Lonchura striata: one gene and its partners. The protein of the gene in region 4 interacts with the protein of the main gene of each other region in a pairwise test. Links are inferred from orthologs where the notes say so. Each region holds a gene or a part of one and is shown on either strand. Other genes may lie near its edges.

What was found.
Region 1: the proteins of MAD1L1 (region 4) and CWF19L2 interact in binary tests that used the Homo sapiens proteins (3 or more experiments, as listed by UniProt). The two-hybrid records come from large-scale screens. The link is inferred for Lonchura striata from reciprocal best matches to the Homo sapiens genes MAD1L1 and CWF19L2.
Region 2: the proteins of MAD1L1 (region 4) and BAG5 interact in binary tests that used the Homo sapiens proteins (3 or more experiments, as listed by UniProt). The two-hybrid records come from large-scale screens. The link is inferred for Lonchura striata from reciprocal best matches to the Homo sapiens genes MAD1L1 and BAG5.
Region 3: the proteins of MAD1L1 (region 4) and LGALSL interact in binary tests that used the Homo sapiens proteins (3 or more experiments, as listed by UniProt). The two-hybrid records come from large-scale screens. The link is inferred for Lonchura striata from reciprocal best matches to the Homo sapiens genes MAD1L1 and LGALSL.

What each region holds. Positions count from the first base shown.
Region 1 is NC_134604.1:44,165,887-44,173,251, reverse strand, and holds the start of CWF19L2 (CWF19-like protein 2), read left to right. Parts: upstream 1-4,156; 5' UTR 4,157-4,165; coding exon 4,166-4,231; intron 4,232-7,365.
Region 2 is NC_134608.1:10,004,984-10,012,918, forward strand, and holds the start of BAG5 (BAG family molecular chaperone regulator 5), read left to right. Parts: upstream 1-4,710; 5' UTR 4,711-4,782; intron 4,783-5,357; 5' UTR 5,358-5,386; coding exon 5,387-6,739; 3' UTR 6,740-7,935. Other genes in the region: COA8 (cytochrome c oxidase assembly factor 8), read right to left, coding at 210-300, 2,261-2,324, 3,381-3,578, 4,495-4,593. UniProt on the Homo sapiens protein: Co-chaperone for HSP/HSP70 proteins. It functions as a nucleotide-exchange factor promoting the release of ADP from HSP70, thereby activating HSP70-mediated protein refolding.
Region 3 is NC_134605.1:1,265,846-1,273,099, forward strand, and holds the start of LGALSL (galectin-related protein), read left to right. Parts: upstream 1-4,019; 5' UTR 4,020-4,061; coding exon 4,062-4,094; intron 4,095-4,252; coding exon 4,253-4,324; intron 4,325-4,492; coding exon 4,493-4,581; intron 4,582-5,030; coding exon 5,031-5,208; intron 5,209-7,254. UniProt on the Homo sapiens protein: Does not bind lactose, and may not bind carbohydrates.
Region 4 is NC_134618.1:13,417,945-13,426,119, reverse strand, and holds the start of MAD1L1 (mitotic spindle assembly checkpoint protein MAD1), read left to right. Parts: upstream 1-4,978; 5' UTR 4,979-5,007; intron 5,008-5,069; exon of another isoform or gene 5,070-5,328; intron 5,329-5,602; exon of another isoform or gene 5,603-5,629; intron 5,630-6,131; 5' UTR 6,132-6,135; coding exon 6,136-6,285; intron 6,286-7,502; coding exon 7,503-7,643; intron 7,644-8,175. Other genes in the region: NUDT1 (oxidized purine nucleoside triphosphate hydrolase), read right to left, coding at 1,152-1,303; MRM2 (rRNA methyltransferase 2, mitochondrial), read left to right, coding at 1,890-1,927, 2,586-2,836, 3,534-3,958. UniProt on the Homo sapiens protein: Component of the spindle-assembly checkpoint that prevents the onset of anaphase until all chromosomes are properly aligned at the metaphase plate.

The DNA of each region.
Region 1 (7,365 bases), on a different chromosome or scaffold from region 4:
TTCTAAGTAATCCCTCAGAACTGGATGTAAAGGACGGCTTGATAGTACCAATGGCAACTGAAAACTAGGTGGTTTTAAAAATGAACAGAATGAGAATTAACTGAAACTAAGTACATTTTGACTGGGGTGTGTCCCCTTTCTGTCCTCTTACTATGATCTTACTGGATAATGTTTTTCTTTAGTATGAGGACTTCATAATGTGTTGTTGTAACTGAGGTAAGAAATGCTCTCCAGCATCACAGTGGGAAAAGATTTTGTTTTCTCAGGAAAAAACAAAAAACAACTCTTTTCCCTAGTGAAACCTTGCATCTAGTTTAAAGAAAACTGCACAGTATCACACTGAGTAGAGAGGATTTTTTTTTAACCTTTTTGAAATAAAAATAAAACAAGCTGAGAGTTAAAGCACGTAGTGAAAGTTAAAAGCATGGAGGTTTATAACACACATCAGTTGGAGAGTGACCAATTTCTTTCAGAAAAAGTGTAAAATGTGCCATTAAATGGAAAATAATACTTCACTAGGAAAGGTCAGTTCCTCCCTGAAGTTCATAAAAATCAGTATATCCAGGGTATTACTGTTTTGTTAGCCTTTTGATTTTGGCACAGAGAATTAGACAACTGAGCAGAGGTGCCCAGCTGACCATTAAAAGTGGTATACCAAGAAGTATCTCTCTAGGCTCACTGAAGATTTCTGAGCATGTGAAGAGCTCTCAGACATACCAATATCTTCAAAGAAATAAGGGTAAACTTTAGTTTTTACCTGCTCCATTTAAGAAAATACTTTTCTCAAAAAAAGGAGAGGAAATGAAATTAAATTATGCCACCATTTCCCTAACCACTGACTTCAAAATTAAAGGCAGCCCTCAGATATAACTTTCTAGGTTTTACTGTTCTTCAGATTCTAGAGCATATTTGTGTCATAGTTTCTTTCCTAAAACCAGGAGTATTAGAAAATCATTTTAAATTAAAATTTACAGAACCACCCTATTAATGACATGGAGGGTTACAGGTTTGAAGAATGGCACCTAACAATGCAAGAGCTCACCCTGTGCTTTGAATCCTCTTCTTTGTCTGTAACTTTCTGCTGTAGAAAATACATTCCCTGTTCTCACTCCCAAATTGTCCACATCTGTCACTATTCACACTATGCCACAGTCTCCAGACTTTCTGTTCGCATTTTCAAATACTTCCTAAACTGATTCAGTCACAAGTAGTTGGCTCAGCTCATGGACTATCAATTTTCTGTTTAGATTTAATACAAATCTATTAAGCCCATATGCCTGGCTGTGTGCTGAGCGAGTTAGAGAGCACCCACTTGAGATACTCTGCTGGCTGCCTGGAACAAGTGGTAGCACTGGGATGGAAAGAAACCAATTTGTTGGTGAGAAGAGCACATCACAATCAGAGAAGAGGCTTTCCTTAATGGGGCAAACATGCTCTTTTCTTGCTTCTCCTCTTTCAAGCAGTGTACTTTGCTGTATATAGCCAAGGACTGGAAGTAGCATTAGTCAATCCTGCTGGAACATCTTCTGTATCCATCTGTTTCCTCTGTAAATGGCTCCCTGAAGAGGTTTCACATGCTGCTTTTCCAAATGGTGCCTATGAAAGTCTATCAGTTATCATTCTATACCTGTGGTGATCTACAGCAGGTTTTTCTTGAGATGCTGTTAACTGTCAGCATAAATTGAACAATTGTGCAAATTTAATTTACACATTTAATACCACCATGGAGATGATGATTAAATTACTGTTACCACTTTAAAAACATACTGTCCCATGCAAATAGCTAACAAATTACCCAAGATCTTCACTCAGACCTTGGCCTAAATAATATTACTTGGCAGCTGTGGACACGTTTGGTGTCAGACACATTAATAATGCTCTGATCTCATCCCAAAGAAATTATGTCCCAGATAAACATTTGTTTCACCAGAGGCAAAGAAGCCCTGTCAAATGGTGTTGACCAGCTGCAACTTCCAAATGGTTGAACACACCTGCTTTTGCATTTCCCTCTGCTCACCCGTGCACATTCTGGGCAGCCAGCACCCTGACATTACAGAGGTCACAGTCTAACATGGATGCACTGAACTGGCTGAAAACAGGTAAGAAAGTGTCTGGAAAATCACCTGGAGGTGTTCACAGCAATGGGGAGCACTGGGCACTGCAGAGCACCTGAACCTGTGAGCATCTTTCAGGCCACGTTCCCTTGTTTGCTCTCATTAATGCCAGTCTGGACAAGCAGGCTAGGGTCTGTGCAAGGGAATTTCAGCCCAGCAGGAGGGATGAGCCTGGATGTCAGTATCCCCAGTGCTGAGGATTGCATTTAGTGCTCAGTGTGCAGCTGCAGGCTGAGTACTGGGGAGAAGCCTGAGCCTGAGGCAAGAGACTCTGAAACTGCCAAAGGGTACAGGGACTTGTGGTGCCAGCCAGGTGCCTGGACACTCCGGGACATGGAAGGAGCCAAGGGTTCTAGACATGGCTCTGCTTGGACTGTGCTTGTGAGGGTGTAAGAGCCCTGAGATTTCTTCACTTGGGGTCCCTCCTTGAAGACACCCAGCTCAAGTTGTCATTTTGTTGTGGTATTGTGATTAAACTATTTTAAGGATTGAGACGTCAGAGACTTTGCTGTGGGAAACCTGGGGTTGAGCCAGTAAGGAAGCCTTGTCTGACTGTGGGGTGTGTAGCTGCCAGGGCAGCTCAGGTGGTGTGAGTGTGACTGCTGGAGAGGCTTCCGGGCGGCTGCACAGGGAAGTTTCCTTAATGCCCATTGCAGGACTGTGTGGTCCTGTTGGTCAGGTAGCACAGGGTTCCAATAAGCTGCTGTGCCAGGACATGGTCTTTGCTGGGACTTCCACCTGTGATGCTGGTGAGCTCTGAGCAAGGTGTGGGGAACCCACCTGGGTGCGTGGGATGGGGCAACCCTGGATGTGCAGACAGACTGGGACAGACTGAGGCTGGAAAGCAGCACCATGGAAAGGGACCTGGGGGTTCTGGTGTGTGGCAAGCTGAACATGAGCCAGCAGTGCCCTGGCAGCCAGGAGGGCCAACCCTGTCCTGGGGGGCATCAGGCACAGCATGGCCAGCTGGGCAAGGGAGGGGATTGTCCTGCTCTGCACTGGGGCAGCCTCACCTCCAGTGCTGGGTGTCACAATGTAAAACAGACACAAAGCTGTTAGAGACTGCCCAAAGGAGGGCAATGAAGATGGTGAAGGGACTGGAGGAGCCATTTGAGGAACGACTGAGGGCACTTGGTGTGTTCAGCCTGGAGGATACTGAGGGGAGACCTCATCACGGTCTGCAGCTTCCTTGTGAGAGGAAGAGGAGCGGCAGGCACTGATCTCTGCTCTATGGTGAGCAGTGACAGAGCCGAGGAAACAGGCGTGCAGCTCAGCCAGGGGAAGTTCAAGTTGGATACTGAGAAAAGGTTCTTCACCCAGAGGGTGGTTGGGCACTGGAACAGGCTCCCCAGGGAAGTGGTCACAGCACCAAGCCTGACAGAGTTCAAGAAGCATTTGGACAACGCTCTCACAAGAATCAGACGGTGTGGTTCTTGGGGATGGTCCTGCGTAGGAGCTGGGCATTGATGATCCATGTGGGTCCCTTCCAGCTCAGGACATTCCATGACTCTATAACCCTGCCATGAACCGAGCGAGAACAGAGGGGCTGAGGGGCCGAGCCGTGCCAGACCCCGGCTCCGGGAGGTCCCCGCCGTGCCCGGCTATCCCCGCTGTTCCCCCGTGCCCGGCTATCCCCGCTATCCCCCTATCCCCGCTGTTCCCGCTATCCCCGCTATCCCCCTATCCCTGCTGTCCCCGCTATCCCGGCCATCCCCGCTGTCCCCCGTGCCCCGCTATCCCCGCTATTCCCCTATCCCCGCTGTCCCCGCTATCCCGGCCATCCCCGCTGTCCCCCGTGCCCCGCTATCCCCGCTATCCCCCGCTATCCCCGCTATCCCCCTATCCCCGCTGTCCCCCGTGCCCCGCTATCCCCGCTATCCCCCTATCCCCGCTGTCCCCGCTATCCCGGCCATCCCCGCTGTCCCCCGTGCCCCGCAGTCGGGCGCCGCCGCAGCCGCCCCACCCCGCCCCCCCGGGGCGCTGTTCACGACAGTGTCGGGCGGCGCTGCCGTACGGCCCGCGCGGTTTCCGGCGGGCGGTGCGGATGGCGGATGGCGTCCGGGGCGGCGGGCGAGCGCGGCCGGGAGCGGCGGGAGCGGGCGGCGCTGCCGGCACAGGTGGGGTCGCCGGCCTTGCCCGGCCTTGCCCGGGCTGCTCAGCACCTCGCCGTTCCCTGGGCTTGGCGCTGGGTGCTGCGCGGGTCGGTGCGCTCCTGAAGGCGGCCTGGCCGCGGCGGCCGCAGGCGGGGAGGCCGAGGGAGAGCCCCTCTGTGCCTAGGGCAGCTGGGCTGCGGCACCGACGGTGGCGGGACGCAGTCTGGAACTCCTGCGTGGCACCCACCCGGTTTCGTGCGTTTTGCCACTTGTGGTATTGATCCTCTTGGTATTTCACTTATTATGTATTTCTGTGCTTACACTTTTGGAAAGAGCCGGAGTCTTTACCGTCTCGCTTCAGATCTTTTATACATTGATAAGATGGCACCACCCTCACTCCCCGGCTGAACAGACCCAGCTCTCAGCCTTTCCTTAAATGAGACTTAAAAGGCGATAACTTCTCCTTGTCTTATGGCCCATCTTTCCTAAAGAGTCTGTATCCCTCCATTGCAACATTCTGGTCATAGACTGATAATAACTTGAAGTTGTGTGCATGTGTTAAGAAGTGGGAGCCTGATTTCATAGGGTCAGTTTTGTGCCTGGTGATATGTTACTGTACTGTAAGACAAGAATTAGGAGGCTCCCACTCTCAGGTGCTTTGGTAGAGATGCTGTGACTTGGAGACCCATGCTAATCCTGGTGCATTTTGTTCAAAATCTGCCTGGTTTTGGTATTTGTGATGATTCAGGTTGTCACTTGTAGGTAGAGTGAATGCTGAAGTCACAAATGGCACATCACTTAAGTGACATGGCTTGTTTTTGGGGTTTAAGGGAAGTGTAAGAGAAGTGTAAGAGAAATACTGTGGAAAGAGGATGAGGTTGTGATGATAGGCTTTTGACAAAAGGAAGGCTAGGGTAAGCAGCAGTCAAATCTTTCTGGGCAAAGATATTGTCAGAAAAAATGTAGTGGGCAAATGACCTGATTAGCCTGATGCTGACAGAGCAGTGATGCCTTTTCTCAAGGCAAAGCAGAAAGAGAGAGGATTTTATGTAATATATCATGTGGGCATCTCCTTTATGGAACCATTTCTTGGCAATAAAAGTTCCCTTCAGCGATTTCCCCCCCTTTTGACAAGCAGTTGAAAGGAAATTAACTTAGTAACAACGAGTCACACTGCCCTGCAAAAGTTTGTTGATGTTGTTAGGATGTTTGTTGCTTTACTCAAACTTCACCTTTGCTCAGTTCAACCTCTTGGATGTTCAGAAAATGCACTTAACAGAAGAAAAGCTTATGTAGGGCACTGTTATCCTACTTTACCTTTCCTTCTCAGCTGGTGCCCCTTGTACAGCAAGTTGCCTGGGCCAATGCCACTGGCTTAGAATCATAGAACAGCCCTGGCTGGAAAGACCTTGAAAGATCACTTGGTCCAACCCCTTGTGGGAAAGGCAGCCTAGGTGAGATTATTTAGTCCTCTGTTCAGTCATATCTTGAAAAACTCCAGTGGCAGGGTTAAGGAAACTCTCCTGGCTGATCATTCAGGAAGCACAGTCCCCAACCCAGGATGCACTCCCACCACACGAGGCTCTCACTGCTGGCACTGGAGCCTTTTGTGGAGAGCAGCTCCAGTGAGCCAGTGTGTGCTCTGCTTGGTTCCCTATACACAACACTCACACTCAGACAAGCTTCCCTTTCCAGCTTGACCCCAGGTTTTCCATGGAAGAGTCAGAGACATCTGAATCCTTACAATAGTTTAATCATGGTGCAGAACACGAAGTCAGTTTGAGCTGGGTGCCTCCAAGGAGGGGTCCTGAACAACCAAATCTCTGAGCTTTTATACCCTTGCAGTCTTAAGTGTGCCATAGTCTGGGTTCATCCTGCTGAGTCCTTGGCTCCTGCAGTGGCTCCGAGTGCCTCAGTGCTCTCCTGGCTGGCCCCACAATGAGAGACCCAGAGGTCTCTCATTGTGCACAGGGGCAGCACCACTTCAAGGCCTTTTTGCTTGAGGCACAGGTTGTTTTGGCACAGTTCCAGTAGTTGCTAGAAAGTTTGGTATCTTGAGCAGGGGGGCTACACTTCTCACTGCACTACGTCTCAAAGAGTTGCTGCACTTCAGCACCAGGGTACGCTGTTAGGATATGTCTCAAGAGTTGTTTGATGATGCTGCAGCTTCTTAGGTCCTAACTCTCGGTGTTAATTCTTGTAGGTTTAGATTCTGTTCATCAGCCTTGCTGAAGAATATTAGAGAAAGTGGTTTGGAGTTTTTAGAATTAAACCAAATCTGGCATTTTTTATTATTGCTAAGCTGTAGTGTATTAAAAGGTGTGTATATAGGATCTTTGTTGAATTTTGTAATTTTCTTTGACTTGAACAAGAAACAGACCATCATTGTATTGTTCAGCATATTTTTAAAATGCCATGAATACAAATTACTCCTACATGAATATCTTAAAAATGCATTTGCAGTATTTGTGTGATACTAGAGAAAACCCAGTGCACAACACTAATTTTCTGGAGTAAGACAAACTGATTTTCTTTGTACAGCAGTGGGCTCAGAGTTGGCTTTTACCATTCAAAACGAACAGATGGGCAGTAAATAGCTCTATAAAGATGCTACGTCATTGCTTAGACAAAAGCTGATCAAGTATTAGAACCACTGAGATGAATAAAGAGCAAAGGAAGTGGTTGCATGGTCATGTTACCCAGTTCTGTGTCAAATAGCTTATGCAGCCCTGGTCCCAGCATCTCAAGAAGAGCCAAAGAACCTTGGGCACGGTGGGAAGAAAGGTGCAGAGATGATCATGGTGCAGACTGGCCAAGGACTCTAGAGGTTTTGAGACAAGGAAAGATAGGGAAACAGAATGGAGTATAATTTGTGAAATGCTAGCCACTATGATTCTTCAAGTTCATTTTTTGTGGAGTGTAGGAATGGATCTGGAGACAATGATGTTTTCTACAGATGTTGACCATTAGAAGTGCTTGGTCCCTATATGGCTGATGAGAAACCTCCCCAATGTGACTTTTCAACTTCTTACTGAAAGTCACAGTATAGAGTCCGTGTTATATTTCCACATTGTTATGTTTTCACTTCCAGGCAGCCTAAAGCTAAGTCAGATTCTCTGATTTTCAAAGATTCTCTTGGGTGCATTGGGATAATACAG
Region 2 (7,935 bases), on a different chromosome or scaffold from region 4:
TTTCCACTAAAACAACAATAAGCAGCAGAAATAAAATGATAATGCAGATTTGTCAAATCCTAATAACAGCATTAAAAAAAATTCAAAAATTACAGGGGTTTGAGCTGTCTTATCAATTACATAAAAAATGTCCAAATTTTAAACTTGATATTTTAACCTCTCACTTAGACTGTAATGTATAATGGTCAACATAAATACGTTCTACGTACCTGTTGTACTGCAAATGCTTTTTTAAATTTTTACTTAGAAAGTCCTTGTAAAAGTCAGCCATTTCTTCTGCATTCAGTGTTGCTTTTTGACCTGAAAATAGGTTTTGGTGTAACAAAGTCAAGGCAATTCTTTGGATCAAGACTGTGGGTTCAGATGCTAGGTCTAACTCCTTACTCCTACAAGCTTTCTGTTAAACCTCAACAAGTTAATAATATGTCTTTAACTTTCAACCTTTTAAAACTTATCTAGAGAGCACAGCAGATGAAAAATACTGATCATCTTGAAGTTGGCATAGCTCTTAAACACCCATCACTTGTGGAAGTAACAAAGTTTACCAGCTCTTAGACTACTTAGGGAACCAGTGAACCCTATTAAAATGTGCATAGATCTAGGAGTATCTATCCTTTGAATAAAATAATTTCTCACAGTCTGAAGCCTAAAGAGTACCAATAAGAGCATTTAGTAACAATTTCCCCCCTAAAGCAAGTCCATAAATATCAAAAGAACACTATCCACAATTGACATGGTATTTTCAAATGTAATTCTTTTTATATTGCTGTTAATAAATTTCAAGTAACTGCAGGCAAAAAGTTTATGTTCTGAGATGTCAGATTCCAAACAATCTAGTAGGCAATTATTTTGAGAAGAAGGAAATACAAAAGATGATTTTGAATATGTCACCCATAAGCAGAATATAAAAGGTCCAGGAAGACCTATGGCTACAGCATAAGATGTCTAATCCTGAGAACCAGCAAATATTCTCAATTCTACCAGACAATTCCTACACAACCCTTCTGGCACAAAATGTCCCTAAAATGACAGTCAAATTTCAATGCCCTAGAGAACATGGATATGATGAGGGAAATGGAATTGCAATATTCAACTTGTTACAGTTCCAAAATACATTTTAAGGCTCTTGAGATTGACCACAGAAATGTAAATTACTGATTGGTTCTATTTGTCATTATTTAAAAACTAATATATCACAATGTATTAACAGACAATGGGACAAATTAACTATAAAACCATTTGAAGGCTGCCAGTTTAATACTTATAGTTCATTTGTTTCTTCATACTGGTATCAGCAAAACTGATTAATTACATAGGAAAGCAAGTTTCATTCACTCTTCATTAATATTTTCACAAACATTCACAGCTATATTATAGAACAGCTGACCAAAGGCATGCATCTGATATAGATTTATTTTTACTGGAAGTATGTGGTCTTTTACTTCTAGAGTATAAAAGCAAAACAAAAAACCTAACAAAAAAGCAATATAAAAGAAGTGGTTTTGAAACAACATATATCTTAATTAAAATTACTTCTCAAGCACACACTGATCACCAGAATACAAACAGAAAAGAAAAATAATGGTCTGTGACATACAGAACCTCAAAGCAGATGCTTCCCTGAACTCAAACAGATCATTATTCCGTGAACAAAGTGTTCAACCTCATACCACAATGCCCAATTCACGATTATTATGAAGGCATTTTGTTTTCATTTTCGCATAATGAATTAGAGAGACAACTATTTTACAGCAACTGTGCCCAGGCAGAGACAGGCAGATAGCAGCTGCCAGCTCCCCAGAAGCTGCCTTACACTCCCTCAAGGAAAAATATTGCATTCATTGGACACACCACGGACCTGAAGCCAAAGACTCTGAATTTAACCGCCCAGCCATAACATGCACTTGAGGCAAATGCTCTGTATGTTTATGTCAGCCAGCTCACTGGCTTAGGAGGTGTGAAAGTAAAAAATCCTTCCCTCCTTAGGCTACATTATTATATCACTGGGCTAGGATTTCAGAACATTCCTTCTGGCTGTGGGGAAGGAATTAGGGGGAGAGAGTGCAACAAATGATCTGACCCCCACATGCACATCTCTGAAAAGCTCCTTGTCTCTCTTATTATCACACTCCTGAAAACATTTCTAAATCCTACCCCTAAGATTTACTTGTGGCAGAACACAAAGAGCATAAACTAACAAAATTCAAAGTTAAACAAAATTCAGAATGCATCCTAAACTATTAACAAAGATCTCACTAACCTGATTCATCTCTCATTTCCAGACCCTTGGCTTTCAGTCTTGAATAAATAAATTCTTCTTTTTCCTAAAACACGTTTTTCCACATTAGAATGGGATGCAGTCAGTCCTTGAAGTTAACCATTGTTTTTAATTACATAGCAATGTCGTGTTCAACACCCTTTGAAATAACTAGCAATACTCGTTACACTTGGAAGTGTCAACTGAACACTTTTCTTAGTCCAGTGAGTTAGTTAAAACTGGTCACTTTGCTCCTGCTACCTGCATGCATCAATTAATGCAAATGTCCTACTGATACTTATAAAACTGATTTGTGAAGTAAAGCTACAGACAAACTTCAGTGCTGTTCGACAGGAGTCAAACTTTCAGTTTATATAAACTATGGAATGTGCTGTATGACATAACTGAGATTTTGAGCATAGAGGAAAAGGTGCAGCCTAAAAAAATTAAAACTATTTAGATGGAAGCACAATAATCATTTGTGTGTGTTTCATGGACTTAAACAGTTTTTTTAATACCACAGTTATGTGGTATTAAAAAAAAAAAAAACAAGATTCATTTTGTTCTGGGATCTTTGCAAGTTTTGAGAGGATATGATGTTCAACATCATAAACAGTGGTGAGTTACTGAACTGTTACTGTTCTTCCAAAAAATGCCACATTGGCTGGGAGATGCTAAAATCAGGAAAGACACTCACTTTAGCCTTGCTAAGATACGCTGCCAATGAAATGGGACATATTATTTACCCTCATTTAGTCTTTGTAATTACACCAAATTTCTCTCACTTATGACAAGAGAAAAGCCAGCCATGGAATAATTTTCATCAGCTGCTCTAGTCAGAGACAGGTCTTGCATGTAGGGCAGCTACAACTTTATACTTTCAGTGCAAGACAGGAAAAAGGTAAACACTCTATGCCCCTAGGCAGCAATAAAACGTGGACTTCTTAGTTTTGTGCATCATTTAAATAAATGAACGACAAACCCGCCATTTCCTGCATGACCCTGAGCGCATTAACAGCGGGCAGAGCTGCGCCCCACCTCAGAGAGGCCGAGCCCCCCAGTTTCGGGCAGGCAGGCGGGTGCTGAGCAGCAGCAGCAGCAGCAGGTGCGAGGCTGTGCTCACCTGGTGGAAGGCGCGGTTGTGCCGTGCCCAGAAGCGCTGGTTGCTGGCCTGGGCCTCCTGGCGCGCCTCCCGCAGCCGCCGCTCCAGCGCCGACTCCTCGGGGGGCACGTAGAAGATGATGGGGCGCAGGTTGGAGAGCTTGTCCGGGGGACCGATCCAGTCGCTGTGCGAGTGCGCGGGGGGACGGAAACCCGGGCCCTGTGGAACACAGACACAAGGTGTGAGCAGCACCGCCGCAGAGCTGCTGAAGAACGTCTCAACTCGGAATGAATGCCCAAACGCCTCGGAACCTTAAAGCGTGCAAGCGTAGCAAGTTCAGAAATAAAGCACATTTGTTTACTGTGACCACAAACAATGGCATACATTTACAATTTACTTTTACTTACAAATGCACTACAAGACCTTTAACTCTTACCATGAGCATAAATCGTGAGATATCTTTTTCTGTTTTAATTTTTCTACCACTGATACTCTGTTAAAGTATTTCACGGAGGGAACTAGCAAGTAAGTATCCAAGTTTTTTACAACGCTGATCTCTGCCCTCTGGTGACCAATGACAGCACCCGAGGGAACAGGGTGAAGCTGTGTCAGGGGAAGTTTAGGCTGGATATTAAAGGCTCTTCACCCAGAGGTCATGGTCACCGGAACAGACTCCCCAGGGATAGGGTCACGGCCCCAAGCATGACAAGCTCAAGGAGTTTTTGGACAACGCTCTCAATGGTCCGATTCTTAGAGCTGCTCTGTGCAGGGCCAGGAATGGGATTTCGGTGATCCTTGTGGGGGCCTTGAAACTCAGCGTATTTTATAATTCTACGATTCTAAGTTTTCCTCAGCCCGGTGTTCTTCCTGCTTTCATGTGCCCACACACAGGCGTGTGCCTGCCCCAGCCGGGTTCAGGAACACCTGGCGTTAGCCAACAGCCCGAACCTCAGCGCCCCTCCAACAGCCAACACCGGGAGCCTCCACAAACACATCGAAAACCAGAGGCCGCGGGCACCGCGGTTTGCCACGGCCGCCCCCGCCCCGCCGGCGTTCCCGGGAGGAGCGGAGCGCTCCCCACGCAGGGCTCCGCGGGGCTTCCCCCGCAGGAGCTGCCGCCCCCCGCCGGGTTTACCACGCTGTCCGGCCGCTCGGAGGAGGAGGAGGAGGCGGCGGAGGAGCGGGAGCGGCGGCGGTAACAGCCCCCGGCCCGCAGCCCGCGGGCGGCCGCCATGGCCCGGCGCTTTCCGGCGCCGCCGCGCGGGGGCCGCGGGCGGGGCGGGGCTCGGTCGGGGCCGGGCCCGGAGCCGCCTCGGCCTCCGCCTCCCCGTGCGCGGCCGGGCCGGGCGGGGCTCGGGCGCTGCGCGGCGCTCGGCCCGTGGCGCAGCGCCGGGCCGGGCAGCGGGGCCTCGCCGGGCGGCGGGTGAGTGAGGGAGCGGCTGCGGCGGGTCGCGGGCGCCGCGCGGGTTCGCTGCGGGGCCGGTGGGGACGGGCCTCCCGCAGGTGCCTCGGCGGCGGCCCGGTGTCGTTTCCTCTTCGCGGTGCGCCGGGCCCCTCCGCGGGGGAGGCGGGAGGTTGCGGCCATGGAGGGGGCGGCGAGTCCTGAGGGGCAGCAAGGTGTGTGCGGGAAGGAGCGCTGCTCGGCGGGTGCGGCGGCCGGGTTCGGCCGGGTTCGGCCGCTGTTCCCCCCCTCGCTGCGGGCTCTCCCCTGGGCTGCGGGTGCCCTGTTTGATCTGCGGCGGCTGCAGCTGCAGAGCAGGTGGGGAAGGCAGGGCGGAAGGCTGGGGGTGAACATCCTAGAGCTGGGCGTGTGGCAACTAAAGCGTCCCCCCTTTGGAAAGGTGTGGAAAAATTAAAGGGTTGTGAAACATCAGCCAAGTGGTTTATTTGTATTGGTGAAGATACTTAAAATAGCTGTAATGCTGAAGTGCTTCAGAATGTAAAAGTTGCGATGTGTGCTCGTGTAGCGCTTAAGTCTTGTTATCGTTTTCCTTGTAGTTCATCTGAAGCTGGACGAGCGAAGAGGAATGGATATGGGTAACCAACACCCATCCATAAAACGGTTACAAGAAATCCAGAAAGAAGTCAAAGAGATTGAACAGCAAGTGGCTGGCTTCAGCGGTCTGTCCACCGACCGAGATTACAAGAAATTGGAAAGAAGCCTTACGAAACAGCTGTTTGAAATAGATTCTGTAGACACCGAAGGGAAGGGGGATATTCAGCAAGCCAGAAAGCGAGCTGCCCAGGAAACTGAGAGGCTGCTGAAGGAACTGGAACAAAATGCAAACCATCCGCGCAGACTGGAAATAGAGGCTTTATTCAAGGAGGCACAGTCACTTGTGGAACGCGAGATCACGGCTTCTTACAAAGGAGGAAACCGTATAAGTGATGAATTTGAAGAAGGAATTCAGGACATTGTGCTGAGGCTTACACAGGTGAAAACTGGAGGCAAAGTTTCTCTACGCAAAGCGAGATACCGCACTCTGACAAAGATATGTGCTGTTCAGGAGATTATAGAGAGTGGTCTAAAGCAACAGCTGTCCCTGCCACTCTCTAATGATGCTCATCCTTCTGTCTCCAAAATTAACTCTGTAATGTGTGAAGTGAACAAAGCCAGAGGAACTCTCATTGCACTTCTAATGGGAGTGAGTAGTAATGATACCTGCAGGCATCTGTCCTGTGTGCTCACAGGCCTCATTGCTGATTTGGATGCTTTAGATGTCTGCGGTCGCACGGAAATAAGAAACTACAGAAAGGAAGTAGTAGAAGAGATCAATAAATTGCAGAAATACCTGGACTTGGATGAAGAAGCAGATTCTAGTCATGCTTATGATTTGGCAAAAAATCAGTCTATTCTAAAAATAGAAGAGATCCGTAAGAAGATGAAGGAAGTTCATTCCTTACTTCTAAAAACAGAGAATGCTTCTGATTTGTATCTGGGATCCAAAGCAGAGTTGCAGGGACTAATTGCCCACCTAGATGAAGTGAGTCCAGGAAAAAATCCCTGTATTAGAGAGGCCAGGAGAAGAGCAGTAATTGAAGTTCAGACTCTTATAACATATATTGATTTGAAGGAAGCATTGGAAAAAAGGCAAATGTATCCAGAGCAAACTGCTGCTGAACATCAGTCTCATAAAGCAGTTTGGACTGTACTTGGAAACTTGTCTCAAATTCAGAAAGAGGTGATTTCATTTGATGGAAACAGAACAGATAAAAATTACATGAGACTGGAAGAACTTCTTACAAAACAACTTCTAGCCCTGGATGCTGTTGATCCGCAAGGTGATGAGCGGTGTAAGGCTGCTAGGAAGCAGGCAGTAAAGCTTGCACAGAATATTCTTTACTATCTGGACATGAAAACAGATGAATGGGAATACTGAAACAGCCATGGCCTGATACAGAAGAACATTTTTCCCTTTGGCACTTTATGAAGATCATTGGCAGCACATAATAAAGTCTTCTGTGCTTGCTGAAATCATGGAAATTGCATAAGCAGTTGACTTGGCTATATGTCTGCTATCCCACGCAGTCACCCACTTGCCATGGCAACTGTCAGTACACCATCAGCAATTCTGGTCACTGATATAAGCAAAGTGCAATTCTCTGAAGGAATAGCTTAATACTTGATCAAATAGCTTCTTCTTTTTTCTCTTTTTCTTTCTTGTTTTTATTTCAATTGCCTTGTGCAATGTTTAGTGAATGCAGGCTTTTCAAAGACACAGAAACTTCCTTACGGTACAGTACTGGCAAAACTATTTAAGGAGACTTGAAAATTAGTGAACGTGAAAATTAGTATTCAGGCATGAGGCTCCATCCAGCAACTTCACAGCAGTCTGGATGTACTGTTAATGTGCTGTCATGACATAAAGTTCTAAGGACAAAAAGCCTGCTGGCTTTTGGATTGTACTTGATTTTTCCCATCCATCATGCCATCTAGATATCTCAGTTAATGGAGCTGTAATGCCAGCTGCAAATTAGCATTTACATAGGCAAAGCCAATTATGTCAATTTTTGTAATACCTGAGACCTTTGATTTGCAAAACCAGGTCTTTTGTTGGTGGAAATTCTTTCAAGTTATTGCTTTAAGGTACTGAGACTTGGAGAGGAAAATCTGTACGTTTATACCAAACACATAAAGGGGATTTTGAGGATTTCAAACTGCCATCCATAAACCCTTGAAAACTGCACTGAACTTTATTTAGGCTAATTAGGTGTCTTTTTAAACTCTGCTGTTGCATCTGGTTTTCACATTTGGCGAAAACATAAAAAGAGACTTCACTTTGAAGTGAAATGTGCATTTTGGAATTATTTTTGTAAATTAGGTAGCCAGCTATAAAGATGTCACTAATGATATAAGTGTGTGCTACATGGTCAGGTGTGGCTTCAAGCATGTCTTGGAAAGATTGGTGGCAAATGTCTCTCTTTGCAACTCATTCACTTGTTTTAGAATAAGCTTGCTTGTACTGTTGTATGCACCTACCTTTTTATTTGTGGCTGCTAGTGCCAATCACATTTCTACTATAGCATGTTTTTTGGCATTTTTTGAGAGCATGGCATTAAAATGATTTGAGTATAT
Region 3 (7,254 bases), on a different chromosome or scaffold from region 4:
ATCCTGAAAGGAGCACTTCCTCTAACTGTTAAACACTTGGCTCCAACCACTGAATCACATGTATTCCCAAACATTCTCCTTTATTGTATTACTCAGCTTTTTCCGAGTCTTACAAAAACCAGGAGTGGGGTGCCTTGCCACCCAGAAACCAAAGGAAGCTTCCATGAAACCAGCAAACACCTCCCATCCTCTCAACATTGTCATTAAAAAAGCAAAACAAACCAGAGAGGTTCTACAAGTCAGCCTATAAACCCAGGCATGAGGAGAGTAATGTCAGTGGTAATGGGGCAAGAAAGGCAGGGTAATTATACCACACCAAATTTGCAATCGTACTGCATTCCTTGCCAGTGAAGGCCAGCTAAGAATTAGATACACCTTTTTAAATCATCAAAGGGAGTGGCTGCAAGATACAAGGTGCTGGGATTAAGATGAAGTTCTGGGTTTGCCAGTTCTCAGCAATGGCTTTGGTGGCTGGGCATGTCATTAATTGCTCCCAAATGGTGTTCACACCATGCCACTTCTTTTTAATCTTTACATGATTCTCTGCATTTCAAGAGTCCCAGGCTCCCACTGAGCAAAAGGCTGTACGAACCCAGAAATGAAAGACAATACCTGTCCACAAGGTTTTTTGCACTTGGCCAACGAGACAAGTTTAGTAGCTTGTACTTCAGCACCATTTCAGTGGTGCACAAATATTTATGTTGCCCCAGCTACTACCACAAGGTCTGCAAGCTCAGACCCTCAAGCAGGATAACTCAAGAGCTTCCCTGCCAAGAAAGCTGTTAAAAATACTGATTGGGGGCTATTTTGTACAGGATTTTACAAGCACTACATGGGTGAAGGAACAGATTTGGCTCAGATGTCTACATTTTCAGAAGAACAAGCAGAGGAGCTTAGGTGCAGCACTCACCCTGCAGCTGTTTGCAGAGGGGGATTTCCTGGGAAGCTGGGTCCCAAGGAAGCTCCTCCATGGGTGAGAAACATGGTGGAATCCTGCTCCATGGACTGCTGGGCAATGCAGGAAATCTTCTGCTGGAGAACACCTCCCTACAGGAGTGACCATCCCACAGGCAGGACGGCAGCACACCGAGGCAGAGCTCCTCTCTGGTTGCCTCACACTGTTCATGGTATACAGAGAAAGATTTTGGTGTCCTCCTGGACTGTTTCAGGCTATGAGGATAACACGGCACAGAAACACAGAGGCACAGGCCACCAGAGCTTTAAAAACTTATGAATGTCCTTTTCCATCAAAATTTAATAGTGCGGGTTGTTCCAGTCAGTCCATGGCCAACAAAACAAATGCTGCATTTGTGCTAGTTTTGGGAAAACATGCCAAAAAGACAAGCACAAGGCAAAGCAGCTAGCCAAATGGACAAGTCTTGTTATTTAATTGTTTTGAAATGAAAAAGTTCATTTAAAAGCAGCTACAAAATAGATACATAATGATGGCCTCTCCCTTCATAAAACATCGTTCTTTGGCACAAACAACTGGCTGGCCTGATTTTATGTCCAATGAATTTAATTTTATCCAACAAAGTGTCTCTCTGTACAGCAGAGAAGACAAAGGGTTCTGAAAAGAGCTTTTTGGATAACATGTAACACCATACAACTGAAAAAAAAAAAAAAAAAAAAGCTTAGGATGATTTCTGTTCTCTCTTCGGCCAACAGAAAAAGATAACATAATGCAGTTGGCATCATCATCACGGTGAGGTGAGCAGCATACAGGAGGTGAAACACATCAAGCTAATTCCAGTTCCACTTTGTGGTAAACTTGTGAATGCACTCACCTGACCACTGTAAAGCCAGTTGTTTCTCATGTGTGATGGGTTCATGTTACTGCACTATTTACAAATTCATTCTCTAGCAAGATGCTTTTCCATGTGGTGATGAGACATTCAGGGTTTTGGCAAGAAGAAAACAGTCCAGTGGTTCTCCCATGCCGAGACCTGGGCCACAGGGATGCTCGCTGCCTCTTGCCCAGCTGTGCTGGTACACCCTGAAGGAGCCATGACTTCAGTACGTGACTTCCAAACATGAGCTTCTATGAGCCATCTCCAACTGGGCATCCAGAGAGGAAAACATGCCCAAATTAGTGGGCACTACTGAAAAAATAGCCACAGCTAAACACTTGCACAATCTGTTCTTTACACTCAGTACCTCTCGATTTCCCAAATGGCATCACCTACTGATTGCAGGTGTTTCCCAACAGACACCATCATATTGAAACCCTAAATATTGCAGTGACTTTGCTTCCCCCACTCCACTTTACCCAATGTAATTAACCCTGACAGTGCCTCGGAGGAAGGAAGGACGAGGACACTCACCAACCCAGCCCAGTGTGCAAGCAAGAGCCACAAAAAGCCCAGTCCCTGTGTGAGCTCCTGCAGAGCACAGGCCAATTCCAGTTGCTGTGTCACGTTCCTAAGGGGATGCTCATGCCATCAAATCCCAAGCGACAAGAAAGCCTTCCTCAATTCCCAAGACCTTGAACTCATCAAAAGGACCATGACAGCGCGTTCGGCGGGGCGGGTCACCCCTGCTGTGGTCCAGGTGAGGCACGAGCAGGGCCGGTGGTGGCCGAGCTGCCGCAGAGTGGGGCACCCGCAGAAGGGACACCCGCAGAAAGGACACCGCAGAGGGCACACCGCAGAGGGGACACCGCAGAGGGGACACCGCAGAGGGCACACCCGCAGAGGGACACCGCAGAAGGGACACCCGCAGAAGGGACACCCGCAGAGGGGACACCGCAGAGGGGACACCCGCAGAAGGGACACCGCAGAAGGGACACCCGCAGAAGGGACACCGCAGAGGGCACACCGCAGAGGGGACACCGCAGAGGGCACACCGCAGAGGGGACACCGCAGAGGGCACACCCACAGAGGGCACACCGCAGAGGGCACACCGCAGAGGGCACACCGCAGAGGGCACACTACAGAAGGGATACCGCAGAGGGCACACCGCAGAGGGCACACCGCAGAAGGGACACCCGCAGAGGGCACACCACAGTGGGGACACCACAGAGGGCACACCGCAGAGGGCACACCGCAGAGGGGCACCACAGAGGGCACACCGCAGAGGGCACACCGCAGAGGGCACACCGCAGAGGGCACACTGCAGAGGGCACACCCGCAGAAAGGACACCCGCAGAGGGCACACTGCAGAGGCACACCGCAGAGGGACACCCGCAGAGGGGACACCACAGAGGGCACACCGCAGAGGGCACACTGCAGAGGGCACACCGCAGAGGGCACACACACCGCAGAGGGCACACCGCAGAGGGCACACCGCAGACCCCGCCGCGTTGCACACCCGCGGGCACGGCGTGTCAGCGGGAGCTCACGGGCACGGCCCGGCTTATGCACTGCCCGCAGCTCGCCGGAGGCTGCGGGCACGGCGGGCCCGGGGCAGCACCGGCCGGCACGGAGTCACTCCCGCACCTCGGGGCTCTGCCCACCGACCCCGCTCGGGGCCTCACCCCCTGAGGGCTCCTCGCCACGGGGCACGGAGGGGAGAGGCGTGGAGGCTCATTTCGGAGCAGCGTCCCCCCAACACCTCTGGAGGAAGGGAGCCACCTAGGACGCCCGGCTCGGCACATTCTCTTCGCCGAGGCGTGCGAGCCCGGACAGAAAGGCGATCCCTGACACGACGGGCGCGGGGCTGCTGCGGCCCCTCCCCCGGCAGCCATCACCTGCAGGCGCCAGGTGAGGGCCCGGCGGGGCCGCGCTCTGCCCGCCCGCTGAGGGCCGGCCCCGCCGCGGGGCTGCGAGCGGAGCAGGGCGGCAGCCCCCGCCCCGCCCTGCCCGGCTCCCCTCGGGCCGAGGGCTGGGCTCCCCGCCGGGCGAGGCAGTGCCAGCCGGCCGCCGGCCACCTCCCCTCCTCCTCCTCCTCCTCCTCCTCCTCCTCCTCCTCCTCCTCCTCGCCTGCCTACTTCTGCAGCGGCTCCGCTCCGGCTCGGCCGCTACCCCTCCGCCGCCGGGGCCGCCACAGAGCCCCCTCCCTCCCTCCATCCCTCCCTCCCTCCCTCTCCCCCGCCCTGTCCCCAGCGCCGCCGCTTCCACAAGATGGCGGGGACCGTGGCGGAGCGGGACGCGCTGGTGAGTGCGGCCGTGGCACCGGGACGGGGCCGGGACGGGGCCGGGACGGGGCCGGGACGGGGCCGGGACGGGGCCGGGCGCCGGGCAGGGCTCCCGCGGAGCGGGGCGGGCTGGGGGCTCCGCCGGCCCTGCCTCAGCGCTCTCCTTCTCACCTGCAGAAAATAGAGGACGGGCATTTAAACAACTCGCTGGGATCTCCGGTGCAGGCTGATGTGTACTTCCCTCGCCTGGTAAATCACCTTTCTTCGTTTTTTTTTTTTTGTTTTGTTTTGTTTTTTGTTTTTTTTTTGGTGGTGTGTTTTATTTTGTCAATGCCTTTACTGTCCCCCGCCCCCGCTCAGCTCCGGCCGCTGGTGATGCCGAGCTGACCCTCACCACCTTCCGCCCGTCCTTTCCAGATCGTCCCCTTCTGCGGGCACATCAAAGGAGGAATGAGGCCGGGAAAGAAGATCTTGGTCATGGGCATAGTGGACCTCAACCCCGAGAGGTAACACCTGCACAGGACTGCCGGTGCTGGGGAGGGGGCGAAGCGGGGCGGCCACCCGCACGTACACACACACACATCCGCACGGATCCCTGCTTTCTGGAAAGGATTATTTTTATCATTTTAAATATAGCATGCTGGTTTCTCCTTTGACCCATAGAGGGGGCATTTCTTCAAGGGATTCCGTTTTCACTGGGGAGTGAAGCATATCAAGCATATATATCTGCATATATGTACAAATATATGCCCAACGCCTTGCACACACACACATATGTACTCCATAACCATGTTGTTGTCCCTGCTGAGCTTTCAGAGAGCTCTGAATGAGCTGAGCTGTCTTCCAGCCTGTGCCACTACATGGCTATAATAAGCTGAGAAATAAGACTGGTGGCATTTGGGGCTTGTTTGCTTTTTTTTCTGGCTGAATGAGAGCTGTTCTGTTTGTGTTGCAGCTTTGGCATCAGTCTGACTTGTGGGGAGTCAGAAGATCCTCCTGCGGATGTAGCCATAGAACTGAAAGCTGTGTTTACAGAGAGACAGTTTGTCAGAAACTCTTGTGTAGCCGGAGAATGGGGGGAAGAGCAGTCGTCTATTCCTTACTTTCCATTTATACCGGACCAGCCTTTTAGGGTGAGTACCAGGATGGCAGTGGCTTGCACCATGTCTGATAAAGTGTCATTTGACACGAGTCGCAGCAGAACCTGACGTGCCTTTCATGAAATCACAGTGCAGCCGGCACTGCTCCGGTTGAGACACCAGTTGCTGGTTTGTTTGTATCCATCGAGTTGCGTGGAGATCCCGCTGCTACGTGCAGCTGCAGGCGGCTCAGATGGGGCTGTGAGCACCTCACCTGGGCGCTATGACAGGATTGTAATACTGTGTGATGGAGCGCAACTTCCTGAGCTTAGTTTTATAACCATAAATTAAGAGGTACCTCTATGTCATTAGAGCATTACAAGTTATTACTGGAGAATGTTAATGTTCAGTGGGGCTGCTGTAAATATTGATGGGTTTTTTAATGGACATACTGTTTGCAATTTAGTGCAGCTAATAAGGATCATGTTCATCCTTTGTCCCCAGGGATGTTACGTTAAGGTTGACCGTAGCTCTTCGTGTTAGCAGATTAAACAGCTAAGCAATAGTGGCATTCTTTTCTGAACCCTGGGATTAAACCTTCCATCAAACTTAAATCTGTAGTCACTTGAAAACAGTGTACATGGAAGTGCTGTGGTGCTGTGGATGGACTGGGTTGACCTAGAAGCAGATTCCCATCTGTAGTGTTTATGGTTATGTGAAGATGTCTTTGCAAATCAGCACTAACAAAGTATGCAGCTGCAGAGGGCTGCTTCCCTCTCACTACATTGAGGAAAAAAGGCTGCATGCCTTTTCCATGCAGCTGACCCAGAAAACCCCTCCTCCTCCCTGTCCCTCTTACAAAACCTCACTGGCCCCTCTGCTAAATGCCAGTACTATGACCAGCTGCCAAACTCTCTTAATCCTTCTTGCCCCCAAGATAATCTCCCCCAGCCCCAAAAGCTCACCATCTCCCCAGATGCTTGATGTTAAGAGGGTGTTTATATGACTGGTTTTGCTGCAAATTGGTTGCGCTCTACTTGCTTCTACAAACTCACCCTCCCATCAGAACTGGCAACACCCTTTGGTGGTGTGGGAAATGCACTTGAAAAGGCTTGGAGGCTGGGTCCTGCTGCATCTGAAAGGGTTCCACTGCCTTCTGCACTGGGTGGTGACTGGGCCCTCAGACAAGCCAGACAAATTACCCAGAACAAGTTTTGTGCATGTCCCACTAATGAGACGATGTTAGAGGACAGCAATATTGCACATCTATCATGGGAGACAGTAGAAGGGGAGTTATTTTTCCTTTTTTTCCTCCTTTTTTTCCCAAATGCCCAAACAGAATTGAGGCTCCCAATTGACTTTGTACCTTTGATGGTCTCCATCTCAGTGAATAAATTAAGACTATTAAGTGTTCTTGCCAATTACCTGTGATCCAGTCCAATTAGCACCGTGGTGTGGCCGCGGGTGACGTGAAAAGCGGACCGTGAGCAGTGCTAACCATATCTTTTACATAACAAGGCCTCAGGCAGGCTCTGTTGCAGTGACACAGGAGCTCCATGGCTGCACAGCCTCTTCCTTGGTACCTGGTGCACTACCAGGGATCCAGGAGTTCCAGCTCTCCTGGGCTGCCTGCTGCCACTTCTCCTGGTGCAGTGTGCTTTAAGTCGCTTGGGCTTTGGCACAGTCAGTTTGTCACAGCCCTGTTCCCATTTTTATACGCTGTAATAGCAGCAGAGTCAAGTGTCTGGTAGCAGCACTTCACTCTGGACTTCCAGCTTCTGGAAGTGACCCAAGATTTACATGTGGCTTCCCTGAAGATTTTCTCCTTAGTGTGTCTAGACCTGGAGGTCTCCAAAAGCCTGTATAAGTGCATGTTTTGTGTCCTCATGTCCCAGCTTCCTGCTGGGGCAGCTCCAGCAAAGCTTAACAACAGGACACCCTCTCAAGCCACCCCAAACATCAGGAATCTCCCAACGTGTCCAAGCTTGTTCAGCTCCAGGCTTTGTTGCTTTTCCAGAGCATTTCTGCTGGTCTCTCAGGAAGAGGGATGAGCTGTGTCCTTCCCTGATTCTGTTAGTGCCTCCTGAGAATGGTCTAGCT
Region 4 (8,175 bases):
GTAGGGATGGGGACAGTCCCCAGCAGCAGCTGCTGGCTGTGCTGTGGCACATTGCATTTGGATTGAGGAAAATTTTAGCACTTGACATGTGTAAACAGAGGTTCTGGTGTCAAACTCAGGCCAGCACAGGTAAACACACCCAAGGAATTAAATGCTATGTGAAACCATTAGATTTACCCCAGAGCTGGTGGCAGGAAAGTCTAGCAAACGTTAAGTGACAAAACTGATGTCTCTCTCTACTCAGAGATGATAAATGACACGAAAAGCCATGATGAAGTGTCAGGTACATTAAGGCCATGTGCTGCTGGGAGCACATCTGCACAGAGACCGTTCTGTCCCTGGGCCCAGCTCACCACAGGACCTGGGTGGTTGTGCTGGCACAGCTGAGATGGCTGTTGAGGGCAGAAGCTGTTGGGAACCAGCTGAGCACACCATGACTGATCTTCCTGCAGGTGCGAGGGCAGCTTTGGGCACGTTATCAGAAACTGAGGAGATGGCAAAGTATGGCTTTGTATTAGCAACATTCATGTAAAGAACAAGGTACCTAATTTTTAGAGGAACTTAGCAATTCAGCTGTGATTTGCAACTTAAGTTTAATGACCAGACAGATGAAAGAACTACAAGAAATCAGTACTAAAGGGTTCAGAAATTACACAGTGCCTTTTTACTGATTAAATTCCACAACTCAGCATTAGCACTTAAAAATGTCACCATACAATCAAATAATAAGCAGTTTGGTTAATAATTTAAATTAAATAAGTTGTAATTCTCCTATATAGCCAAAATTAAGCCCTGCACCTCTCTGAAGAGTGCAAGAACCTCCACCCACCACTCAGACTCATTCTCAGTTTAAATCAGAGTCCAGGAGATGGGACAGAGGATATAGGATGTTCCAATTGCTCAGAGACTGGACGAGTTTAAGATTTGCAGATGACAAAGGGCAAGTAATCCTGTTTCTCTGTACATGTGGATGATCCTTCATTATCTGTGGAGCAGGTGTTCAGAGGTGGGTCATGACTGCACTGGTGGGTAACACGAGGGTGTCACTGACCAGACAAGCCGTGGTACCTCCACCTGCAGCCCACTGCCGATGGTCCAACACCTCACCTGTGCCTCCATGCCTGTCCCCATGGCGCGGACCCAGCCCTCACCTGCGGGCAGCCTCCTCGATGCTCTCCCCGGGCTGCACCTTCCCCCCGAAGCCATTCCACAGCCCGGCGCCGAACCCGCGCTTCTTCATGCCCAGGAGGACGCGGGACGGCTGCACCACCAGGACTAGGGTGAAGAGTCTGGACGTGTGCATGGCTCCTGGGAGAGGGACGAGGCGGCGCGCTGTGCCAAGAGCTCCCGGCCCCCTTCGGAGGGAGCCGGGGGCGCACAGAGCCCCTCACGCCCAGCACCCCGCCCCAGTGCCCGGTCCCTCTATCGCTCCCACTGACCTCGCTTTCCTGCTACCTCAGCACCGCCTTCCCAAAGTTCGACCCCCCCTTCCCAAATCCTTGTTTCCCCACACCCCCGGGAATCCTGACCACCTTTAACACCCTCCTCTCCCAGCACCCCTTCTCCCAATCTTCGACCCCCTCCGCAAACCCCTGTCCCCCCAGATTATTCTCCGACCACCCTCAACACCCCTTCCCCTAATCCCTGCGCCCCTAGAAACCCCTCCCCAAATTCTAAATCCTTGCTGCTCCTAACCTCCCTCCCTGAATCCTTAACTCGCAGCTCCCCTTCCCCACATCATCGACCCCGACCCCGCGCGCACCTCAGCCCCACAGCCGCGGTTTCCCGCCCGCCGCGGTGTCCCCCTCAGCCGCGGCCCTTCCCGCGCCGCCGCCGCCCCGCCCGCGGCCGCCGTGAGGGGAGGCGGGACGGGGCGGGCCGCGGCGGCCATGGCGGCCGCGGGCGGCGCCGCCATTGCCGGGGGCAGGTGCGCGGCGGGGTCGCTGAGGCGACCCCACGCAGGGGATGGTGGCGTGTCGTTCGTGCCGGAGCTTCACTCGGGAATGGGTTAATGGGTGTTTGGGGTTTTAGGGTTATGCCGCCCGGCGGTTCCCGTGGCTGTTGGTTGCTCTGGCGGGAGCTGGCAGGAGCTCGGGCGTCCCTCCGATCCTCTGAGCGGTCGCGGGGGGCAGCGGCCCCGCTGAGGCAGCTCAGGAGTGCTGGGCTCACTCTGCCATGTCGTGTCCGTAAAACACCTGAGCAGAAGCTGGAGTGGGATCTCTTTCCCCCCTTAGCTCAGGATAACACGTGAGGCCTCATCCAAAATCTGACCCTGCTGTTGTGATAGGACCTGATAAGTAAAGGTGCCAAAAATCTCAAATTTAGGGGCTTCTTTTTAGAATCAGGGAATGGTTTGGGTTGGAAGGGACCTCTGGAGACCATCTAGCCAAATAACCCTTCCAAGGCAGGGTCACCTGGAGCAGGTGACATAGGAACGTGTCCAGCTGTAGTGAGAATCTCCCTACAGTGAGACTCCACACCCTCCCTGGCTGCCTGTAGTGGCTGGAATTAATTACTGTAGAGACTTCTGAAACACAGAGTGGTTATTTACTAACTTGCCTCTCTTCCTGGCTTTGCATGAGCAGGTGCCTGCACACCACAGTGAAGTTTCTGAGGAAAACTGGAGCTGAGCAGAGGTGGTTGGAGCGGCACTTGAAGGATCCCTTTGTCAAGGCATCGAAGCAACAGCATTACCGATGCCGGAGTGCCTTCAAGTTGCTGGAAACTGATGACAAGCTCCGTGTTCTTCGTCCAGGATTTTCTGTTCTTGACTGTGGAGCAGCACCTGGTGCTTGGAGCCAGGTTGCTGTACAGAGGGTCAATGCCTTAGGTACTGGTAAGTGCAATTTTTTGGCAGGCAAGATGGGGGTGATACTCCTCTTGATGAGTGTGACAGATCTGTGAAATACTATGGAATGTAAATTGAAATACTATGAAATCAAGGAAATATTATGATGGTAACAATGTGGGGAGGGGACATGGGTACTGGCAAGTGCCAGAGTCACTGATAAAAATATGAAAGGGTGAGCCTAGTAATTCTTCATATAGAAAAATTGTGTTTATGAAATAAAACATACCATGTGGTGCTAGTGATCTGATTAGCTGATTAGCTGTTGTCGGGAAGATCCCTTCATCCAGTTCTGAAATAGGTGTGACTTCTAGCAATTACCTTGGCTTATTTAAAATATTGTTTCCCTTCTCAAAAAATGGAAGCAACTTCTTTGCATGGTTTATATGGGTGAAGCCATTGATGTTTACAAAGTGAGGTGTTATCTGCAGCATTATCCAGGATTTCTGGACTGTCAGCCTTATAAGAGCAGCAGAAAACCAAAAAGAAGCCTCCTTGTTTATCCAAAGTAGCTGAGTTTTTGTGTCTTGAATGGATGAGATTATAGCAAATCCAGCAAACTGCCAGGGGAGGAGAAGGCAGCTGTGGCAGGTGGTGGGTTTTGTCTACTGACAGACACAGAGCTCGTGCATGTGCAGTTTTTTGCAGCCTCTCTGAGTGTTCCCTGTGTCATTCCTCCTTACAGATGCTGCTGTCCCCACTGGCTTCGTGCTTGGTGTTGACCTGCTGAGGATTTCTCCCCTGGAAGGAGCGGTTTTCCTGTCAGAGACTGACATGGCAGAGCCCAGCACGCTGAGGGCCATCCAGAGCCTGCTTCCCTTGGGGAAGGCAGATGTCATCCTGAGTGACATGGCACCCAACGCCACGGGCATCAAAGAGCTGGATCATCAGAAGCTGATCAGTCTGTGTTTAGGCCTTCTGGATATGTCCCAAAGCATTTTAAAGCCAAAAGGAACGATGCTCTGTAAATTCTGGGATGGATCCGAGGCCCGTCTGCTGCAAAACAGACTGAAGGAGCAGTTCCAGGATGTGAGAACTATAAAGCCTCAGGCCAGCCGGAAGGACTCTGCGGAATCTTATTACTTGGCAAGGCTGTACAGAGGGAAATGAAAGTCATGAGCTGCAGATTCTCTGACATGGATTGGAAATCTCAATTTAGTGGGTGTTGAAAGGAAAATCCCACCATTAAGACCTTGGGAAAATTTGTTGCTCTTCTTTAAGTCCATCAGGCTTTTCAAATACTTGCAGACAAAATGGTTGGGAATGGAGAGGAATAATCTGAAAGGCAAGCTCTGGGAATGGAGTAATGGAAATTAAAATAAAATGCTGATTATACGAGTTTTTAATGTGTGCCTGAAAATCATTGCACTGTTAATGCTGCCAGACATGAGACTGACCATAAAGGTGATCGTTAGAACGTGAGGAGAACATGAGCAAAGGGGAGTTTGAGCCAATTCAGTGCCTTTCAGAAGCTGGTGTGATTTATTAGCAGGTCACAGGTAAAAAATAGAAAATGTGTCTGTGCACATCAGGATCTGTCATGCATGGTGTGTAGCACAACCATGTGAGAGGCACGGCTGACTTGGGAATGTTCAGCCCCATGGCTCTGCTGCCTCTCCCACAGTACAGGTTATATTTAGGAGTTGCTGCCTCCTGGCACTCCTAAATCCCGTCAGTGCCAGTGGGACAGGGTCATGGCCACGCAGCTCATCTCCCCAGTGCTTTCTAGGTGTGGCCAGTGGTGTTTCTCAGGCGAAAAGACAAGATATTCCTAAGATCCCAGTAGGGAGAATGACTGAATTGCCAGAAATCTGCTTGCACAAATAAATTCAGCTGCTGCCTTATCTGAAAGCGACAAATTTCATATTAAACGCTGCTTTTATCGGGCTGACCGTGGCATGAGTTATATGAGAGGCTGTTTTGAAGACTCCAGGCCTTTCTCATCACCACCTTGGGGCTGCTGGCTGGATCCCTGCCGGAGCAGGAGGGCGCGGGGCGCTTTTTGGGGGTGCGGCCCGAGCTCTAAGCTTCACCGCCTCTTATCGGGGCATTACGGTAGCGCGCGGAGGGCTGCGCGCATAATGCCGCCCTTACGGCCCACGGCGCCGCCGCTCTCGCGAGAGGCGGGCGCGGAGTTCCCGCGAGACGCCGTGGCCGGGGTGAGGAGGGAGATCCAAGCGGGGCGCGCGGCGAGCGCTGAGGGAGGCACGGGGAAGGGGCGCGGACGGGGGAAACGGAGGGAAGGAGGCTCCGGCCGCGCCCGTCCCGCCCCGCTCTCCCCCAGGGGAGTCGTGCCGGCGAGCCCCTCGGTGCCCGGAGCTGCCCCGTGCCCGCCGCGGCCGCTCCCGGTGCTCGCTGCCCGCCGCGGGTCCCTGCGTACCCTGACGGGTTTCTGGAGCGGACCGGGTCACACACACCGAAGTGTCGTCGTAATCGCTGGGAGGTTTGGGAACGGGCTTGCTGGAGCTGCCTGCCGGCAGGTGCGTTTAGTTCTCCAGAGCTCGGTTTGGGTTTTGGCAGATCTGTTGGTTCTGCGCCGCTCTTATGCTTCCTGCTCGTGATGCTGTAAATACAAACAGTAACTGCTGTGTAACCCCGGGAGTGCAGGAGCCCCGAGGCAGCCCCAGGTCTCTGTCTGTGCTGCATCCATGGGGATGTTGTGGCTGCCCTTCCTGGTCCTGGACCTTTTCCGGTGTTCCTGGGGATTTATGGAGCGTGCAGTCACTGGAGGGACTCACCTGAGGTTTCCTGAAATCTGGGGAACCTTGGAGCCTTTCCTGAGTGAGCACCATGCTTGATTTCTCTTTGGCCTTTTAGTTAGTACGCTTCTAAATTGGGAGGAAAAGCTGTATCTCATTATATAAATAATTCGATGCAGTTTCACTTATACAAGTGATCAGTGGATTTGGGAAGACTTGTTGGAAATTAGAGTCCAAAGTGCTTCTGGGAAACCAGAGACAAGTTGTGTAGCAGGAAGGGTTTGCTGCTACTGTGGAGTTAGTTCTTCTCCCATCAGATTCAAAAATTAGGGGGAAGAAAAATGAGTTTGGTTTGGTCAGAGAAGAAGATGCTGTCTTGCATCTTTTTCTCATTTCAGAGGAAATTACAATGTCAGCCTGGATCATGTTTTCTGTGGATCCCAGCAGTGCAGATTGCAGATTGATTCTTACCCTGTAAATGGGAAGACCTCGTGTTTAGTCTTTCCTCAGGGCAGTGATGGATCCCTCTTTAGCAGAGCATCTTGCTCTGAGTGTTTTGCTGATGATTTTCTGTCTATTTCCAGAGCCATGGAGGACTTGGAAAATAATACCACTGTCTTCTCCACCCTGAGATCCCTCAACAACTTCATTTCACAGCGAATGGAGGGAGTGTCTGGGCTGGCTACACCTGGATCTAGTCAAAGCTCCTTACAGATGCAGTACCAGCAGAGGATGCAGGTGAGGAGTCCTCATCTTGGTGATTCCTGCAGCACCACTTCAGTGTGGCCATGTGCTCCTTTTGATTCTAGGAGCTGGGAATTTCATTCAGTTCTGACCGTTCATTCTGAAACTGACACAAACAAATAAAGGAAGCTTGCTGCCACCGTTCTGGAATATTTTTAGAATATATTTAATTTTTTTACAGTGTCAGTTTTATTTCTGTTTTATAAAAGTTTAAGAAAGGTTCTTTGAATTTATTCCCTGCTAGTTATATCTGTATAGCAGCTCAGGAAATTAAATTATGAGTTGTTTTCATAATGCTGAACAAAGGAGCTTTATACTTTAACATTTTTTCTGGTAAGACACTTTGTTACCTTTTTTCAGGATTTAAAGGCTTCTTTGCCTGGACACATACAGGAGACTTGCATTGAGCTGTGGCTTTGATATGCAAACCAGTTGTGCTTTCTTATCCACCTGAGTTATTTACTTTTTTTTTTGCTGTTAGCTGCTTCAGGCTCATAAAGCATAAAGTAAATTGACAATCTTAGATCCCAGGAACTGTTTATTAGGCTGCAAGGAAGTATCTCTATTCTGTATCTTAATATAATTTCTATTTCAGTCTCCAAGTAAAAAAATGTTTGCTTCTTTTTAATGTAAATCTGCTTTGCATTTGGAACGTTGACAAAAGTTTAAGCTTCTGTCTGTGCTACATCTCTGGTGGCAGCAGTAGTTGCAGGAGGCTTTCTGGTTAGTCTCCATCTGCTGTGTGTTGGATGTACATCATCAGGATGTGAGTAGTTCTTATAGTATTGTCTGTGCTCTCAGGTAATTTGACTGAAAAAATGAAGTGGAACGTTGTAGAGGTTGTGGAAAAATGTGTTATTTTGCTCAGCAGTTAGTTTTATTTGGAGCATGATCTGTGCTTCTTAGGCTTGGAGAATTCATAATTAGCTTTTTAGATAAAGTAGATTTTGTCAGACTACATCTAGAGATTGAGCAATTCTGATTTAGGAACCAGGAATTAGTTTCTTTCCAATTCACCTTGATTTGGTGTGGGTCTCTGAGCATGGTGTTGAACTCTTTGTTTCCCCATCTACAGCTGGTGTGAGAAGTGCCACAAATGTGGTGATAGTTTGTAAAATGGCAAGTTAGTGTCAGCGAGCAGTACAGGGCACCATGATACTGTTGTGCTGTTAATGGTGTGCAATGTCCCTTCTCACACATGAACTGGCCAGCTGGAGGAACAGGCTGGGCAGATCCACTCCAAATCCCAGCTGCTGCAGGTGGAACGGGAGAAGATGCAGATGGAGCTGAGCCACAAACGAGCTCGCATCGAGCTGGAGAAGGCAGCTAATACCAATGCCAGGAACTATGAGGTGAGTGGATGTCTGCTCATGGCTTGGGAGCATGGCCTAAGCCAGAACACATGGAGAGCATTTACATCAATGATTTGGGTCAGGGATGTGCTTTGGTGTGCAGTGTCTGTCTCAGAATGTGTATAGTTACTCTTTGGAGTGAAACCAAGCTGAAAGGTGCATTCCAGGAGCAAGCCTGGTGTTCTCCAACTGCTAATGGACACTGTCTTCAGAGCAGGACTTCAGTGACTCTGGAATGCATTTATTGTGTTTGCATTTACTGCGGGCGTGGCTGTCAAGTTGCCAGCACCAATGCATCTACAGAACTGCTCTGCAGGTCCGCTCTCAGTGCACTGCACTAACTTGCTAATGTGCGCAAGAGTGTGGTCTTGAATCCTCGTTATGTTCACAGACTGATGATCTGATCACTGGATTCTGTTAGCTTAGCACTGAAATTGTCATAGGTAGCAGTAACAAAAGGGATTTGTTATATGTTTCTCCCAGAAGTATTTAATAATTTTTCTCCTAGAGGGTTTAAACTTCTGCTGGCACA